Linked DNA regions of Drosophila melanogaster. The gene in region 1 interacts genetically with each later gene. Each region holds a gene or a part of one and is shown on either strand. Other genes may lie near its edges.

Region 1 (3,603 bases):
ACATCCATTTCAAGTTCTTGCTAGACATACTGTCTGGATATTTTTGCACATCTGTGACCACAACGAATTTACTTGGAAACAAACAAATCTTTGTATATAATAATTCATAATTCCAGATTATTACATGGTAATTATGCTCAGGACAATGAAGTTAGGTCTGATCCATTTCAGACCAACAATGGGACCAAAAAACAAAGATCCATTGTCAGGCATTGCAATACAAAGAGTGGAATCAACAAGTGTCGGGCGAGAAGAGATTCCCATGGAATTCCTGGTGACTCCGGGACTCTGACTTCTAATCTCATTTTCGCAATTTAGCGCCAACAACTAATCCGCAAAGCGAAAACGATTAATCTGGCAGGGAAAACCCAAAAACACGCAACTGCCAGACGTATCCGAGATTATCATCAGGTGACCTATTGTTGGTCAGAAGAAAAGAAACAAACGGGCATGGATATGGATGGAGTGCGGAGAGAGGTTCCCACTTTCAACCAGAACCGCCCACCAACCGACTACCTATTGTTGCTATTTTGACAGGATCGAGGTCCCAGGTAGCGCAGAAAAATGCTAATTGGAAATTCCAGAACCTCTTTTCGAAGGCGTTGCAGATCTTTAGGTTATCCGCGAACCTTTCTCCCGAAAATATTGCAGCATAATGCCTAATCTGGGCCAGGATTTCGACTAAGCTGCGGTCGCGTGGCACTCTTAACAAAGTGAACCGATCGAGCGATCGATCGATCCATCAGCTATCATCATCATCGTCAAGATCAAACGTCAGGATCCTTTGTCGGCTCGGGACTTTGTTCCTTGACAATTTGGGCGAAGTAACTGGGCCATCTTGCAGTGGCATCATTTGTACTCTTTAGCCATGCTCGGCGCTTCTCGGCCAGTGTTTTCCAATTGTTTTGCCCAGTTTCCTTAGAAATTCAGCGAACTCCTCGAATTGATTTTCCCTCTAATGCTGCGAGTCTGTGGAGTTAATTAGCCTTTCGATGCGGTCACTTGAAAGTGGGCTTGATCCCAAGATGACTGTGGAAACCAGAGCATACGAATGAAAGTATATAATGTGAGGGTGCAACATATTGCACCAGAGTTTCGAAGGACCCATCGAATGGTTTCAGCATGTTAAAGTAGTGTAGTTTTATTATCGGAAAAGTAACTCTTCAGTAAAGGCGTTAATATAGCACATTTCAAATCCCTTAATATGAAAATAATAATAAATAATAATAATGTGATACTTGCTTTGATTTCTTCATGCTTTTTTGAATTTCGAACTTCTCGACGTCCTGTAATTTGGCCATTGAAAGCAGGAGAAAGCCACTATTAATACACCCACTTAAATTTGACCCAATAAAGTAAGTACAACCGCCTAAAATCGAAAGTCACAAACCGCACAAGCACAATTGTTGCTCTTTGTTCTGTCCGAAAAATGGGGTTTGCATCCAACCAGTCGAGCACTCCACTCACTAGACCACAGACATGCAACCAAGATGATCCATGGCGATCTTCGATGGAGGCACACATTGTGGAAAATATTCCCATATGACAAGAGTCTTTTGTGCGTTCGCATTTTGACCTTGGCTAAATTTTGTTTGAATATAAAAAGTCAATTCCAGGGCAAGTAACAAAAGAGGTATGATTACAGACGGTAGCCAAATGACAGGTCAAACAAAAGGAGTCGACCTGTAGCTGATACAGTAAATACCTGGGAGAAAGAGGGAGAGAGTTGCAGCCAGAGACAATTAAACGTCTTGACCGCAAGCCAATTTAGGGCACGGGCTGTGCTGCTGATCCTCAAGAGGTTGGCAATCGGGTACCTGAGCGGATCGGATCAGCTTGAGGCAGCGAATCAGGTAACAGGACATATGTAGTGAACCAATCACGTGAGAGCTGAATCCTCGGCAGGCAGCTATATAAAGACCCATCCTCAAGCAGCCACTTCAGTTGTCCCTTGAGCCTGCAAACGTAAACATGTTGACCAACAACGAGCTAATGGAGCAGTTCTACTTCCCCGACGAAGCCCCAGCGATTCCCGAGTTCCTGAGCAACGACACCTTCCAGCAGTTGGAGCAGCTCATGTACCAGCAGGAGTTCAGCACCAGCGACAGCCAGTCGGATGGCGCCAACAGTTGCTCCTTGGAGATGTATTACGATACGCCGTCTGTCCTGGAATTGGAGCACATGCTGAATGCCCAGGAGCAGCAGCAGCACCACCTTCAAGCGAATCCCTTGGGCAAGAATCAGGGCAGAAGTCCAAGGTACTGGAACAAGCAGCAGAGGAGCAAGCCATACGACAAGCTGTCCACTTCCATGTCATCATCTACATCCTCCGCCTCTTCGAGCAGTTCATCGTCCGCGGGATTCGGTGGCGAAGTCCTCAAAAAACGGCGACTGGCCGCCAATGCTCGGGAACGGAGGCGGATGAACAGCCTGAACGATGCCTTCGACAAGTTGAGAGATGTGGTTCCATCACTCGGCCACGATCGGCGACTCTCCAAATACGAAACTCTGCAAATGGCGCAAGCATACATCGGGGATCTGGTCACGTTGCTGTCCAGAGACTACTAGCCAGTGTGGGCGATCCTTTATCCTTTCTTCCTCAAATGGAAGTTCCTTTTGCGGGCTGTGTTGCAGCAACACCTTCATATCCTAGTGGAAATCTTATAAAGGCTGTTAGTTTTACGTTTATTATCATAGTTGTACACAATTCAAGCAATAGTTTTATAATAAAAATGAAAATACAAATCAATTATATTGTTTTAAATTCATATCGTATGAAATGGTGGAGTTGGAATGAAAATAATGTTGTGCGAACTTGGAAATTTATATTTTGTTTGAATTGTATCTTTGCATTTTTTGCTGGTACATATACAGAATTTAGAGCAGATATTTTTAGAGAGAAAAAGGGAAAAATCCAATAAATATTTAAAAAAAAGATAGGAAGTTTATAGGTACTGAAATGTAAATAACTTATCAGACTTATTAATTTACATAAATATATGTAAAAACTCCATTTATCAATCCAACTGATGCCTCCACATTTGTTTTTATTCGCCACGCTTTCATCTCAGCCCGAAAAAGGGTATCCTTGTTATCCTTGAAAGATGAGAGCGGCATGGCAAGCTAGGCAGTGCGCCACGCCCACGAACCAAAACGAAAGGTCATAACATCAGTAACAAACCGAGAATTAATGAGTTCCGCTTCCGACTCAAAGTGATGGAACTCCAAAACAGAAGTGATTAAATGCCGCAAACGTCAACAGGTAAACACACTGAGGATAAACACAGTCGCTACCTTAGATCCTTCGAAGATTAGACGAAAATTGATTTAAACATAGTCATTTGTAAGTGCTATGGGAACTGTGGGTGGACCGAGCGAGTATCTATCTGAAACGGATGAAGTCGAGGATCCAGAAAGACAAAAGACGTATCGTACACAACAGTTTTCAATTGCAAATATCACATTGATGTTTGTATTTATAAAACTAAATACAGATTGTTAACTTAGCTTACTATAACTATGGTGTATAGCTTGAGTCCACAGAAATCTGAGAAATTGCTCTTCAATAAGTCTGGAATAGAATGCACAACGAAATAAGTAAGA
Region 2 (3,594 bases), on another chromosome or scaffold:
AAAAAGTGAAAAAAGTTCCGCAATAAATACGTAACTTAGATCTGTACATGTTCTTCAGGTGCAGTTGGCGCGCTTTTTAAAAATGAATAAATAATTATTCAGTTTATTATTATTCAGTCTGATTTGCTATTTTCAATCTTGTGAACCGTTAAGGACATTACCGATTCAAAAAACTTAAAATTATCAGTGCTAGTTTTCTAAAACACTTTTATTTTAATTAAGTGAAATATATTTAATTTATTATTAAATAGATATAAATAAATAAATATAATTTATTTATATTTATAAATAAATATTTATTATTATAAAATAGATTTCACTTCGGTCATTGCCAAAATAGATTTCCATTGTCAGAGCAGAGATATATTATTTGATATTTCCTAATTGGTAATAATTTAATTACCAATAAGGATTCCAATTGCCACCAACTAAGGGATTGGTCCCTTAGATCCCCTCCCAACATCCCAATAAAGTAAATTGTTTTGATATTTGTTTAAATTGGTTTATATTTGTTTTGCTAATTGCTTTTTTAATTTTGCTATTTTGTTGCCATCACAGTTGGGCTATCACAGATGCGTTGTTGGTTGGTTCTTCCATTCCCATTGCCACTCCACCCTTACCTTCCTGCCACTTAACCCCTTGTTTTTACCAGGGGCGCCACAAGGGCTGCTGCATGGGCTGTGGCGAGGGGGCGGGGCTGTCGCAGTCGCTGTGATATCCGGAGGAGGCGGGGCTGAGCGGAGCCTTGTCCATTGAGGAGCAGTCCATCGAGTTCTGGATGAAGTCGGCGGCGGACTGTGCTTCGTGGAATTGCTGCAAGTTCTTGTAGACGCGTCCCAGGTGAGTCATCACCGATTTGCCCAGGTCGACGCTCATGCCAGGTGTGGAGGCCATGACACGTGACACCTCGTTGACGGCATTCATGTAGCCATTCTTAAAGCTGTCCAGGGGGAGGGATTGTTCTTCCTGAGCCACCTTCTTTGGTGTCTTTTGCTGGCGCATGAAGATCACCGCTGACTCGAGCATCTCGGCCTTGTCCATGCGCAGGATGCCATCATCACCTCGTAGCTCGGCGACAAGTGTTTTCAGGTTGTCCAGGCACTTGTTCATGCGGGCACGTCGCTGGCGCTCCAGCATTGGCTTCTTCACCTTCTGGTAGATCTGGGTCTTGGTGGTGTATTCCATTTTTGTTTTGGTAGTAGGTTACGTAGTTTTAAAAATTTTTGAAAAATTTTGTATTCGGCTTGTTGCTGCCTGCTCGACGGCGTAATCGTGAGTGATATTCTGCTCTGCGAGGTCCCGTCCTTTTATACCGCTCCCTGGTCCCTGAAATCCACCCTCTGATACGCACCTTTCCTGCCCTCTCTTTCGCTCGCACGGCTAAACGCCGGTGTTGTTGTCTTTTTCACAAGGAACAGCTGCAACTTCGTAGGACGGAGGACAATCCTTGTGGCTCGTGGCGTGGGAACCGAGCTGAAAGTAAGTTTCTCACACAATTTTTTCTCGTTTGTTTTCCCTTTTGGCCACATGCTTCGCTCCGCTCCGCTTCTCATTTTTTTTCGAGTATAAGGATCAGGGCACATTTTTGCAGCTGTCGCTGTTTTTGGCTGCTCGCATTGCTTTCTGGGCCGGTGTTATTATCCTTAATGCATACTTCACTGCCTCATCCTGTCGTGTTTGGAATGGGAACGTTCATATATGGGTACATGGGATCGAAGCATGATGAGCAGGGGCAGGGGATCCGAACTGCTTGTGCGTGGGCCGCTCTGGCATTGTTATCCTGCCGTGCCATCTACTCGCTTATTGTTTCATCAATGCCAGCAGACGATGATTGTATAAGCCCCTACTCCTGCTCCGACCTCCGAACTGCGAACTCTGAGATCTCCTCTTTCCGTTCCCACAGTGCCCCGTCGACGAGTGTTTATTGGACACAATTAGTGGATGTGGCATATTGGCTTCGTGCCGGGTCGCCTTGGTTGTTCGATCGTTCCATCGTTTGGGCTGTCTGATCTCGGGTTTTTGGGTGGTTGGCAGGGGGACGTGGGTCAAACGGGCGCAGAAAGTGTGCCCCGCGTGCCACACTCGTGGCCGAGGTTGAGTACTCAATGCCCAGGCTGAGGTGAGGTGGGCCTTGTGCCGGAATGTCTACCTATGGGATGCACATAGTTAACTTCCTGCAACCCCCTAATTGGTAATTAGTAATTTTTCACCGGTTAATTGATGTGCACTTTTCAAATATCTTGTCTTATGGTAAATGTGGTTTGTTCAATGTGTGGCTCATCCTAATAAGATTGTTAAAGTAATCATAGGATACAAAAGTTTTCTTTGAATTTAGTTAATAGGAACTTATAATGTCTGGCGTATCTTTCTAAACCCATTTTTAATTAGCTAATATTAAGTGCTTTTGGTTTCGGAATCTTGGGTTTCGCATGCAAGTATGGTGTATTAGAATTCCATTGAGTAAATTTCACTTTCGAGTTAACTTTTATAAACTCTGTTTCTATTAGGAAACTAATCGACCTCTGACATCGATGCCTACCTATGGGATTTGTGTCCCTCCCTTGCAACCGCCTAGGGTATGCTACTTCCTCACTTAATAATTGAGATGGATTTGTATATCTCCCTTACAAATCTTGAGGGTTCTTAATATTGACATTTTATGGGTGGAAAACAACGTCATTGATTATTGTAATGGGGAGGGATACTCTCACTTCTTATAGTATTTTGGGTGTCAGAGGTTAATAATGTGGTATGAATTTGGAATTGAATACACTTACCTATGATTTTACGTAATGCTATTGCAACCCTCAATATGTGATGTAATTTAATTGATTAATTGTAAAAGAATAAATTTTAAGGGATTAAATATAATAGGGTATAATGTGTGATAAGTAATCGAGACGCGTGCTGAAACTCATTTGTATGTTTCTTGACCATTCTTATTGACCTTTTATTGGTGGAAAAATTATAATGCCGCATTTAAGGTTTATAACAATGTATTGTATTGTGCTAAAGGATGTCAAATACTTTCATTTCATAGTCTGTTGACAAAATAGTTACTGAAATAGAATATAAGTAAACACATCGTGCAAATGAAAAATAACGACCATTAAAAATATGAAATTAAATTCCTTTTTATTATTAAATGCATGCTTGACAACTAAGTGCACATTAGTGGAGCATGTTTTGCTATTATGTTTAACTGTTATTGAAACTTGTTATTAATATAGCTCGTTTAGGATAATGATGGGCTTTAAGATAATGAACATAATTTATGGGAAGTCCATTTTTTTACACGTGTCCTAAATAAGCTAGTGCACACGATCGTTTTATTATATTGGACCTTAAAGTTCGCGCATACCAACATTAAATATTTTCAATGGAATCTTCTTCCTATTGGAATTTAAAGACAAATACTGAAGTTCAATATCCCCTATTGGATTGTGCTGTAAAATAGATTCCCCAAATAATAAGATTCTTGTATAATTTCATTTCATATTTTGATTTGTATTTAAGTTTTTCATTTTGTATCTTTTCATATTGTGTTCTTGAGATCTCTTAGCTGGTAAACATTTGTATATATGTAGAGTAAAA
Region 3 (5,088 bases), on another chromosome or scaffold:
CAGATGCGGAGGCCCAAAGACACATTCGAAACTCACACAGATACACACAGCGACGAACGTAATGAGTTCGGTGCGCACACAAAGAAGGCAGAAATTTATGTGGCAGCCACATAGACTCTCGCACACACACTCGAATGCCCGATGGCCCAGCATCCAAGACTCGTATATTCCATACCCCCTTCCATTTCAGCTTCTTCATCTTTAATTTGGTTCCGTGTATCTTGTTGATGGCGTTTTGCCTTCTCTTATATCTTTTGCCGCCACGACCAGCTATTGTATTTCTCCTCTTTCGATTCGTTTTATTTTTTTTCTTCGATTCATTTCGTTTTTTGTCGAAATTATTATGCTATGCCTTGCATTCCAGAGCGTTACCAAAAAAAAAAAAAATGCTATGCCCCCCCATGGAATCCGTTACATGAGCAGGTGCACCTTGGCCCTTGGTTCTACCCCGTTGGAAAGTGACAATTTCTTGGGCACACATTGACGGGCGTATTCCACAATTCGCGCTTGCCAAGTGACAGTGCAAATAGACCTGGTGCAACCGCAAAAAAATAAATAAGGTCTGGAAAAAGAGCCAAAACAAAAGATTAGCGCTTGCCACAGATCCAAGTTCTGAAAGTGCGAAAAAGCTAAAAAGTTAAATTGGAGATTTCCCAGTTGTGGGGAATTTTATATTAGCCAAAGTCAACAGAGATAAAACTGGAAATTTATTGATTTCCAGAGTGCGGCATCAATCCGCAACTTAGTTATTTGCTGTGCATAAATATAAGGTACCTAATTGCAAATTGTATTTGCCAAAATCGTTATCGGTTTTTGCAATATATATAGACATATTTGCGATTATTGACATGGCGTTGAACGGAACCTCTGGCGGAGAAGGAAATTGTTAAATTGACCAGTAATTTGTAGGTCCTAAGGCGATATCTAATCGGAACATGACCACTACCTGAGGGGCATATGAATGACTCACTGGGTGACATAAGCTCGGAGCCTTCGATGATCATAAAGTACTTTAGTTTTAAGCACTTTTTCCGTTCCTTGAAGACTGGCAAACGGAAGCAGCATTGAACCCATATGTACTCCACATATCATACCATATACAATATACATATATATGTATGTATATATATAAGGCTGCCCAGGAGTCACACAATACACAAAAAACCGGAACATTATTAATTTACAAGCAATAAAGCGAAACGAACAACAAAACGAAGAAAGGCAACGGAAAAAAGTGAACAATGGCCTGCGATGGAGGAGTTGCAGGGCCAGAAGCGGCTAACAAGCCACAAGACTCGAGTCGAGTCGAGTCCGAGTAGTGCAAGTGTTAAGAGAAATTGCAGTTGCAGTCGAGGATGCTGCAGCTCTTCTGCGCCAGCAACGCACACTATCACACATCCAATTGGCAACAGGCACACACTTTCATCCATGGCCATAATGGACCGCAGCACACTATGCCAATGCCATCCAACATCTGTTGCCAACATTGCTTGTACATAAGAGCCGAAGACTCAGGCACTAACACATGCAAACCAGTCTTGTGAGTATGCTGCATCATCTGGTTGTCCCGCTTCCACTTCCCTTGCGCATAAGGCAGCATAAAAATGAACACCACAGCCGATCGAACGTCGAGTGGCATACGCATACAATCACAACGCGGAATGAACTCGAGGCGATAGTGTGTGTGTGCGTGTGTGTTTGTGTGAGCTAAAAGGCCTAGGGTTCTTGAAAGCACCCTCGTCGTACTCGTACTTATACTCGCATTCGTATTCGCTGCCGTACTCGTACTCGCACTCGAACACTCTGCGCGCACGATACTCCGCTCGGAAATGTCATTTGTCAATCACAGTGCGAGCGCAACGGTTGTCCGAACCGAGAGCTAACTGCCAGTTCAGCGGAGAACAGTTAAGACCGTAGTTAAGTCAGTTAGGACCTGCGATTTCGCCGACTCAAGTATTTCGATTTAGCCAGTTTAAATCCAAATAATACCATAAATCTGAATAACAAACGTGTCGCCAAATAAGCGTGTCTGTGTGCCAAAAGTGAAGTGCTAAATAACCAAAAAAATAAATAAAAAAAATTAAAGGAGATACAAAATCCAATCAAGAGAAACAGCAAACAACGAGTCTTAGATAAATCATGGATAACCACAGCTCAGTGCCTTGGGCCAGTGCCGCCAGTGTCACCTGTCTCTCCCTGGATGCCAAATGCCACAGTTCCAGTTCCAGTTCCAGCTCCAAATCCGCAGCGAGCTCCATCTCCGCAATCCCGCAAGAAGAAACGCAAACGATGCGCCACATTGCGCATACGCAGCGTTGCCTCAGCAGGCTGACCTCTCTGGTGGCCCTGCTGCTGATCGTCTTGCCGATGGTCTTTAGCCCGGCTCACAGCTGCGGTCCTGGCCGAGGATTGGGTCGTCATAGGGCGCGCAACCTGTATCCGCTGGTCCTCAAGCAGACAATTCCCAATCTATCCGAGTACACGAACAGCGCCTCCGGACCTCTGGAGGGTGTGATCCGTCGGGACTCGCCCAAATTCAAGGACCTCGTGCCCAACTACAACAGGGACATCCTTTTCCGCGACGAGGAAGGCACCGGAGCGGATCGCTTGATGAGCAAGGTAAGGAAAACCCTCAAACACCGTAAGCTAGTAACAAAATTTGTAATACATCATTGGGAAAGTTTCGCTTATCGGAATCATTGTGACAAAGTGACTTAAAAATTATTTGTAAAAACCGAAATATTGACTTATTAATCACGATTAATCAGAAATTACTTAACATTTAGTATTGTTAGCAACACAAATGAAGTGAAAACCCAGTCTTACGCCAAATAAATGACTAATTCTAGGAAAAAATGTGAGATAACTCTACCAAACGGAACTTGTAATGCTTTAATAGTACACTTAATATTTGGTCTAGGTATTATTTTGTGATAAAAGTAAGCCTACTTTGATATAGGAACACAATGAAATGCCTGTTAAATCTGAGGTATGGAGGTCAAACACACCATTTAGATGAGATTTTATTGCTGATATTGTTCCGAATTCGTCTTCTATATCAGACAGCTGGGTTCCGATTTGCGGCTAGGCTAATTCCGTGCTTATTGCGCACTGCACTCACATTTTGCCACCCGTCGTGGTCCGTAAATTCAATTGTCAAATTAGCGATCGCTTATCGCTCGCGCTGTTTTATAGCCCGTATCTAGCGATCGCCCGATGGCACGAGATTGTGCCACTCGGTTCCCATTGATAAACGCTACGTGGCGGAAAAGTGCCCAATCATTGATCGAGCATTGGCTATTTCACCAACTTTATGGTGGCGATGGCTGCCATAAAACTGGGCTGAAATATAGTATTAGTTTTGAGCATTGGCCATTTATATGATTAATTATGCATCTTATCGCCGCACTGCACTTGTTTCGCAAGTGCAAAAAAACAGGAAGCCCGATACTCGACGGCTGAACGGTAGATAGCGCCTGAATTCCATCGAACTAAGCCATAAAGCTGCAAAGCGTCCCGAAATCCAAACAAACCGAGCGAACGCGTTCAACAACCTCGAGCCCAATCGATCCCCGGGTCATCATTGCAAATACATAGTTTACTCAACATTGTGTGTACGCTTCGCAAATGCGTTTTCGATTTCGCGCTGAACAACAAACAGGGTATCGAATGCGGGAGATTACAAGTCCCGGTATTTATCAGGTTTTACTCAGCCAAAACCACCGCCCACCGCCCACCGCCCACCCTGTCCGCGCCCCAAAAGTGGAGGCACGCGAGCATTTGCCGCTTATCACCGGCGATTGTCTGATAAGCGGACTGCAGCCAAGTAGTTCGTTTGCCAATACACGGTTACTATCCCCCCAGATAGTCACCCTATATTTGCCAACATGTGTAGCTACATGCTGGCACTGAAAGAAATTGGGTTCGCTTGGCATAATACTATATGCTTGCCACTTTATGGTTTATGCTAAAAGAGGTATATGATGGTTTTTATGTGTGAAATAAAATGTGAAAATTAGTTTAGGTGCAAGTTATACGTTATACGTTATACGTTGCTAGTTGCGCTATATCGGTGCCAGAACAAAATGTGTGCTAAGATACCAGCTAAGGCGAAGAACAGCAGTATCTTATCGCCATAAAAAAAAAGGGGCGGGGGTAGTGAAAGTGGAGTGGGTGGCGGTGGGATGACCACCCAGTTGGTGGGGGAGCGGTGGTTGAGTTTCAAAGTGCGAAACAGCTAAAACAAGTGTTCAATTCAAGCACCATGCGACAACATTTCCAATTAGCCAGCAGTTAGTGGGGTGGTTGCGTTGCGGCCAGAAGTCGGCTTAGCACAGTCAAGACCCCCTAAGAGGGCCGACATTGAAGTTGCTGATATATATAATCGGCACGCTTCCCACCAGCTTATCTTCGTGTTACTTTAATGAAATTTTAAGTGTCGATGTGTAAAAATAGCCTTGTTATTGATTAGCGCCATAAACGAGCTATTGGGCTTTTATGGCGGACTTCCAGTTTCCTTGGACGATTTGGTGCTATTGAACAACAAACTAATAATCAGAATTGTGGGAAGACAGATTACGCCTGCCAACCGACTAATATAGTTGATTTAAAGGGTTTAGTATCGCCCACACAAGTGTTACAATGACTTTCGATTTGTTGATTTATTAGTCAGTGGTTAGTGTTTCGCAAAAACGACTTAGATCTTTAAAAATCAGATTTTACTGTACTGTAAAGTTAAATCGTATTATCGAACCAGTTGTTCGCCTGCTAGAGTTTCACTTGAAAACCAATTCCAAATTGCATTTGGCAACTGCCACGCGCCCATCGGGGGATTCTAAATGGTTGCAGCCATTTCAGATGTTACCTTGAATTTGATATGCAATCAAAAGGTATCGCAGCCTTTCCAGAAACTGGCGAACAATTAACAGTTGCTCGCACGGCAGCACAAACGCAGTGACACACCGAAGGCCAAGGTCCTTCGGGCGATTGACTAAACGGCCAAGGACACTCGGCGAGCATAAAAATCCTGTTGTTCACGGGACAAATATTTACAACGGCAACTGTTCCGCTACCGAAGTCGTATACATA
Region 4 (7,116 bases), on another chromosome or scaffold:
TCGCCCCATGAGGAGCACCGCTTGTGCGGTCTGGGGAATCACACGCTGAGGTCCCCGTACCGCGTAATCAGAAATCCGCACCTGCTGAAGTTTGGCCAGCTGATAAACTCGGAGCTGCGGTCTCAGCCACTGTGCCTCTCGTGCTACACGCAACTGATCCAGCTCTACCGGCTGAAGAACAACAATGCGAAGAGACACCTGGCAAATAGACAGGCAGCCAGTGCTATTCTCTCGAGGAGCAGTAGTGAGAAATCTCATGAGTCCGCGGCTAGTGTGTCCACAACACAATCCTCGGAGGAGCAAGAATCAACCACTAGCGCAGCGCCGGCGGCGGCGGCTCAAAGAGCAGGAAGCCAGTTGGTTGAGTCCAATTCTTCCGACGATACACTTTTCTCCGATGACTACGATCCCAGCTCGAATCTGAGTTTGAATGCCGTGAATGGAACGCGGCTACCGAATGTCCAACCAATTCCGAAAAGGCGCCAGTTTGTGCATCTAAATCGTGAAGCTATGGCCATTTATCTGGCGGGAACTACTGGGGGATAATGTTTGTTTCATTTAGGATATTTTCATAAATTAAATTTGAAATAACACTGTTACCATCTATGTAACCATCTATCGATAGTTTCCGCCATGTTATTAGCAGCAGAAACAGCTGGCTGAGCACCAGGGCTGCATTATTGTTTGTTAGTTTTGCTGTTTGGTTTTTAACAAATTTCCTGGTTTTCCCTCAAAAACCCTCTCTTATATAAATAAATCAAGTGCAAAATGCTGAGTCCATAACAACACACGTAAGTTTGTTGGCAAGCAGTGAGTGATTTCTTCGAAAAGTGCAATTCCTGCAATCTGTTATGTTTTCACAATGACTTTTATTCGATCTTAATCTAAACAGTTTAAAGCTCAAATAAATGTAATCAATTAGCAAGTATTAGCAAATGTTAATAGGCGTTGTTGTTTCTCGACGTCGCTGCTGCTGCTGCTGTTGTTGTTGTTTTTGTTGTTGCTGGCGCTGGAACTGGTCATCGATGTCGATGAAATTGGCATCCTGCGTGTTATCCTTGGGCAGCGCTGCCGGCGTCGCTGCCGCGGCATAGTAGTTTAGGCCCACGCCCACCGCCACGCCCCCAGTGACGCCTCCGGGGGGCATGGTCGTGGCAGCCTGACCCATTATAGAGCTCATAAAACCATTGGCCACGACAAAGTTTCTGAAAAATTGATTACATCAATGTACAAAATAATTTCGAGCAACCCCCTCCGGCACAAAAAAAAAAAAAAAAAAAAAAAAAAAATATGGAAAAAAATGATATCGTCTAATTGGGTCTGTGTGCGCATAAATGTCGTAAAATTAATTTCGTGTTAATTTCATGTTGGCCATCAATTAAACTAGTGACATTTCACTAAATTACTTCCGTTTCGAAAATGCAGGTATAAATACCCAGTTAAAATCCTCTTCACGAGCTATTCATCAACCATTAATTTATGTTCATTTAATATTATTTAACTCAATCAAAATCGATGATATCTTTGTACATATGAAACAGAAAAAACGATTCAAATTAGCTAAAGGGGAAACCCACCTGTAGTGCTGATCGATCTGAGCCTTTTCAATGCGTTTGTCCTTGGCCCTGCGATTCTGGAACCAGATCTTGATTTGCGTTTCGGTCAGGCGCAGCGTTTCGGCCAGCTCGAAGCGACGACTCCTGGAGATGTACTCGTTCCGATGGAACTCCACCTCCAGGCGAAGCGTCTGCTCTGTGCTGAAAGTGGTCCTCTGGCGGCGTTGTCTTCCCTCCTTGCGTCGCCTGCGAGCCACTGAAAGTCAAATACATTGATATCCTTACAATTAATACGTGTATAATATCTAGTTGGAATCAGCTTATTAGTTATGTAAACCCCGCACCATTCAGTGTGTACAATAACGACATCCGTCGGATAGCATCATTTTTTCACAGCCCACCCACTTTCGTTTATGTCCAACACAATGGAGATGTTAGAGCGAAATTAATCTTACATTAACAAACCATCAAGTTATGAGCGGGACTAAACGTTTTCGAATGTGGTTGCGTGTCGCTGCGTCAGTTAAACAAATAATTAACCACTCCGATCCGTGGTCCATCCGTCGTCCTCCCTCTCTTGCTCTCTCCGCCCGCCCACCTGCCAGAATTCGTCGTCGGTCGCGTTTGTGGTGCACATTAAAAGTGCATTTACCACGTAGTTTCTGTTCTCTATGTTTTTTTTTTTACCACGCTTTTCATTTCGGCAATCTATGCTGATCCGGGAAAGTTATAACAATGCCAACAGCTGGCTGGCCATCATCATCATCATCATCCTCGTCGAAATTCTCGGCATCATCCGCTCTTTCGAGTTTTCCATTCTGTCGTTTGATTGTTTGCATTCGCAGTGTCGCCGACGATGAAGCTCAACCAAGCGCACATTATGCCCCACTTCATCCTGCAACAACGAGCACCTGCCACCCAGGAACACCCACCACAAACACCCACACCATGGTGAATGTTGCGGTTTAGAGTCTAATTGATGTAACAAGGCGAAGCTGACAAGTTGCTCGGTGGTGTTAGGATGGTGGGGGGGGGGGAGGGGGGGTTTCCCCGGGAAGGGGTTGCTTTGTGGGCGTTGTAATCTCTAGCTTTTGCTTGATTACCCCTAGTCCGGATGGCTCTGGAGGGGCTTAAGCTCTTCCCTGATCCTTGCCGAAGGTTTTTTTTTTTTTTTAAATCACGTGTGTAATTCGATAGCCAAGTGTCCTTTCGGACGGTTTGTTGTGGCTAAAAATGAGTCTTCCTCGCTTAACCCTCCTCGCTTGCTGTTTGTGTTTGCTTTTTTAGGTTTCCTGCCGAGCTCAATTACAATGCTAATTTTTTCAGACACTTGTTATTTTTTTGAGATTGACCAAAAGTTTGGCTTGTAAGTTAGTTAATTTAAAGATCAAGTACTTATAGTAACTACCAAGCTGGTTTAGCATTAAATATATCAACTGTTCTGAATCTAAAAAATGCTTGCATATGTAGAATACGTTTCTGCTCGTAGAAAAGGTTTCAAAGTGTCTTTAACTTTGATTTCTTGCTTACGAATGGCTAACCCATTCACCCTTAACCTGCGATCATTTTCATTAGCCGACGCATTTCCATGTTTCAATATCCCCTCAACCTCATCTCCGCACCTGGCCACCTTGGCCACCTCATCAGGAGCAAACGAAAAAGCCGCAAGTAAACGAAAACTTTCACGGCTCAATGCGTTTTAATTTTTTCTTGGCATTCGGTTATTTTTTTTCCTTGGCTAATTTCTTTGCATTTGGGGGTCAGCAGCAGCAGCAGCAGCAGCAGCTCATTGTGTGGCATTGCTTGGTTGCCCCACCTTAGTTTCGTTTATTTTTTTCCAACTGATTTTACATAATCCTGGCCAGCGCACTCGGTGCGAAGATGTGGGGGATATTCAATATTGCAGCACTGACGATTAATCAGTTTTTTTTTGCGTATCCGACTTTTTTTTTTTGCAGTTCCTGCGGAACCAAGTTCATCTGGGCTGCACCTGCGCAGGCGTGTGAAATGCTCATCACTTCCTCTGGGCCTTTTCAATCGTAACTTTCGAACTCTTTCGGGGATCGGGCGGAAATGTTGGCTCCCCTGGGCTTCAGCTGTCCGCGATGCTTGCTCCTGCGACGTGGCGCCGAGCGTTGGGCCTCACTGGCCCGCCAATTGTCGGGCAGCAGCTCCCAGGATGATGCCAGCAGCAAGGATGCGGCCGCCCAGGAGGCAGCAAGTGGCTGTCCGCCCAATAGCACAACGACGGGCACTGACACTCCCAAAGCCAAAGATAAAACCACCAAGGGAAGGAAGCGGCTCAGAAACATAGAGGTAATGTTGTAAGCTAGTTGTTATCATTGCTATTATAGGTTAAATATCAGTTGGTAAGATTGTAGTTCATTAGAAAGAAAGGATCATCGATCTAGTATTGTAACACAAAACTTAGTGTAGTTCTATGAACTTCTAAAACTATTGAGCAGTATTATCGAAGGATCCAATTGTTATCACAATACTGAAATAACTTTCTATCCTAAGAGGAAAGTGGCTCAAGAGATTGCATATTATATAATCGTTTGCAGATACCTCCCGAGCCCACCACCTGCTGCATGTCGGGCTGCGCCAACTGCGTTTGGCTGGACTACGCACAGACGCTGGCCAAGCTGCTGGGCGACAACGATGAGGAGGCGCGAGAGATTGTGCTGAGCAAGATCACCGACCCGAACCTGAAGATGTTCCTCAGCCTGGAGCTGCGCCAGATGGCTAAGCAGCGGGAGGAGAAGGCGGCGGCGGAGAAAGCAGCGAAGCAGGGAAAGCCAAAGAAATCCTCGCCCCCGCCGTAGTACAAATCCCCGCTCACCTAAATATCTAGTTAGGACCAAATTCGTAGTAGCTCAAATTTACTCTTGTACTTAGTGTGTAAGAACTAAGAAACCTCAAAATAAACATGTAAGAGTTAAGGTTCTGAAGAAGTTATTTTCGTAGTTCTAAAGATTCTGCATAGCTTTGCAAATATTCTACACATTGTTAGAAACCATTCTTTTTTAAATGTAAGTACTCACGAAATGCGGAAAAGCCGGCGCTGAAGTGCGGGTCACTTGGGAAGCCGGCTGGGAATGCGTGTGGCAGGACAGGATTCGCAGCTCCACCGGCGGCAATTGCTGGCGGCGGGCTCACGTAGCTGAGTTTCTGGTGCACCAGCTGCGGCGGATGATGGTGATGATGATGATGCTGCTGGTGCTGCTGGCTAGGATGCTGCGGATAGTCCTTGGCGTGACCATAGAAATCGTAGGCGGGATATGCGGCTAGCGAGGTGCGTTCATCGCTGATGGAAATGTCTGGCGAGGAGACGCTTCCTCCATCGCTGTGATAGGGCGTGTCACAGGGCGGCGGCTTGTGGGCGTGTGTTCCGACGTCGATTTCCCCATTTTCCGAGGAGCGCGTTTCCAAATGCCCGTACAGACGTTCGAAAAACTGTCGCGGCGACGAGGGACGTTGCGGCACGGATAGAATCGTAGTGTTCGCTATGGGATCTAAGCTGTCACTCCTTTTGATGCCCGGCGAGCCGTCGGGTGAGCCAATCTCAACTTTGTGACGTTGCATTTCGTTTGAGGATGTGCCGCGTTAGCTGTCCAAACTAATCACTTGGGTAATCGGCGAGCGACTGAAGTGCCACAAATAATTCTACTTCCGCTGGTCAAGCGACGCTTATCCTGACGTCGACGTCGGCAGAGGAACTGGGTGAAAAAAAAAAACAAAGCAAATTACGCGGCACATCAGAAAATTAACAGCAGCAGCGGGGGCGCCTAAAATGCTGCTTACTAATAATAATAATAAAAAAAAAGGACCCCCTTCCCACTAAACACCTGAAGTGTGGCCTGAAACCCGGTTTGATTGGCTGAAGTGCCGTGCAATTAACCCCTAATTTTACTTCCGGCCAAAGTTTCACTTAAGGGTGGCAAGCAGTGTGCCTAAATAAGCTCCGCCCACTCTTAAGCAAGCAGTACTCACGTCTTCATACAAGCAGTGTGTGCGTACAGTCCCTGGTTTAGCCAAGTTTCTTACCTCGCCAGTGCTTTGCGAGGACAACAACCTTAAGAGCGAGATCCCTAGAGGTGGGCAATCAGCATTTGCTTCTTCAATGTATTTCATGCATTTTTCAAACTACCATAAACGGTCCGTCTAAATGGCAAAAAGTCTATATAAGCAACCGAATCGCGCCACTATCTGTAATTTTACATAGCGCGCGCGAGGGATCGAATCAAATCGAATCGAGTCGAGTCGAGTTCGTGGATTATATCAGCATGGATAATGTGTTCCCAAAACTTCGGTGCGTAAACGTGTGCTGTTTTGGGAAAGAAGTATCGATGAAGTGATAGTGATCGAAAGAACGAAAACAAAAACAAACGATTACGGTTATGTTGCCAATCCGTCTGCGCTGCGCAACCGATTTGCACGTACCGTTAGTTCGCGCAGCTGTCGCAGCCACCGAAAGTGCCAATAAAGAATAATAACAATAAACAAAGACCAACAAGTGGTGACGAAAATAAGAAAAAAAAAGGTACATCCCTTCGATTTTGGCCAATTTCGATTTTGTTTATCGAATTCCCATATCCCCTCAAACACCACAAAATGGGAGCAGTGCAAAACAAATAAAACCAGAAAAATTGCAGCGACTTTTGTTTGTTGTTTTCTGTCCGGATATTAATTGAATGGCTTTTATTTGGCCCCGGCGTGCATTTGTGTTTGTTTCTCTGACGGCTCTGAGCTGCGTTTGAGCAATGCAAAAATATTTTGTTAAAACTCGTTTCGTTTCGTTTAGAGCTTATTTGGCTTAAGCCCGCGAGTGTGTGTTTTTCAGTCGCCGACTTTTTTCCATCCATCAATTTCGGTTTTTTGTTACACTGACATATGCAAATTTTTTGAACATTTTTCGTGCGTTTTATTTTTTTGAGCTCAATTTATAAATACCTTCTGGTTGCACAGAAAAATGAAATTCAGACATGAACCTCGACTTAAAAAGTAATCAAACTGGATTGGAATCAATTGCAAAACAATCATATTTAATGAATTACAAACAGTAACCTTAAATTTATACATCAATACATCACATCATTGTGCTGAAAGACCTTAAAATAAATTTGCAAATATTTAAGCATAGTGTTTTGAGTCTTTAGAATGTTTGTATATTTTTTGTCGTGTGTAGAGCCTCTTCGGCATTTCCTCCTCCAGGCGATGTTTAATAAAGCGAAACCCACATGTTGTTCATTCTGTTTTCCATCCAAAAACAAACGAAAAAAAACAATAACATCAGCCTTTTCATTTCCATTGACATTTATGAGCGGCGCTAAGGGTGCACGCTGCCTCTCGCTCGCACGCAGAACTTCCTGCCTCTGGCCATCCCGCTTGCACATGCAGAGGCGTGGGCGGAGGCATTCGCGAGGGGCTTATTGTGGGATTTCTTTTGATTCCCTAATTCCCACCGCGGGATTTCTCGTGGGCTCGTTTTCATTATCCTGCGCATGCGCAGCATATTACGGGAAAATTGTTATGGAAATGAACGCGGACTTTTATGTTT

What was found.
Region 2: of amos (region 1) and E(spl)m8-HLH, changing one suppresses a phenotype caused by changing the other (phenotypic suppression), as found in Drosophila melanogaster (one study listed by BioGRID).
Region 3: of amos (region 1) and hh, changing one suppresses a phenotype caused by changing the other (phenotypic suppression), as found in Drosophila melanogaster (2 studies listed by BioGRID).
Region 4: of amos (region 1) and ro, changing one suppresses a phenotype caused by changing the other (phenotypic suppression), as found in Drosophila melanogaster (2 studies listed by BioGRID).

The regions. Positions count from the first base shown.
Region 1 is NT_033779.5:18,595,275-18,598,877, reverse strand, and holds amos (absent MD neurons and olfactory sensilla), read left to right. Parts: upstream 1-1,956; 5' UTR 1,957-1,971; coding exon 1,972-2,568; 3' UTR 2,569-2,742; downstream 2,743-3,603. Other genes in the region: CG15160 (uncharacterized protein), read right to left, coding at 3,504-3,571. UniProt on the Drosophila melanogaster protein: Transcription factor involved in early neurogenesis; sensillum basiconica formation and maybe sensillum trichodea development. Promotes multiple dendritic (MD) neuron formation. Required for olfactory sensilla; regulated by lozenge (lz).
Region 2 is NT_033777.3:26,037,915-26,041,508, reverse strand, and holds E(spl)m8-HLH (enhancer of split m8, helix-loop-helix), read right to left. Parts: upstream 1,270-3,594; 5' UTR 1,186-1,269; coding exon 646-1,185; 3' UTR 501-645; downstream 1-500. UniProt on the Drosophila melanogaster protein: Participates in the control of cell fate choice by uncommitted neuroectodermal cells in the embryo. Transcriptional repressor. Binds DNA on N-box motifs: 5'-CACNAG-3'. Part of the Notch signaling pathway.
Region 3 is NT_033777.3:23,138,573-23,143,660, reverse strand, and holds the start of hh (hedgehog), read left to right. Parts: upstream 1-1,754; 5' UTR 1,755-2,139; coding exon 2,140-2,619; intron 2,620-5,088.
Region 4 is NT_033777.3:26,875,965-26,883,080, forward strand, and holds ro (rough), read right to left. Parts: upstream 5,208-7,116; 5' UTR 5,142-5,207; coding exon 4,601-5,141; intron 4,496-4,600; exon of another isoform or gene 4,382-4,495; coding exon of another isoform or gene 4,121-4,381; intron 3,873-4,120; coding exon of another isoform or gene 3,630-3,872; exon of another isoform or gene 3,515-3,629; intron 1,813-3,514; coding exon 1,578-1,812; intron 1,206-1,577; coding exon 929-1,205; 3' UTR 807-928; downstream 1-806. Other genes in the region: ms(3)K81 (male sterile (3) K81), read left to right, coding at 1-546; CG5500 (uncharacterized protein), read left to right, coding at 3,630-3,872, 4,121-4,381.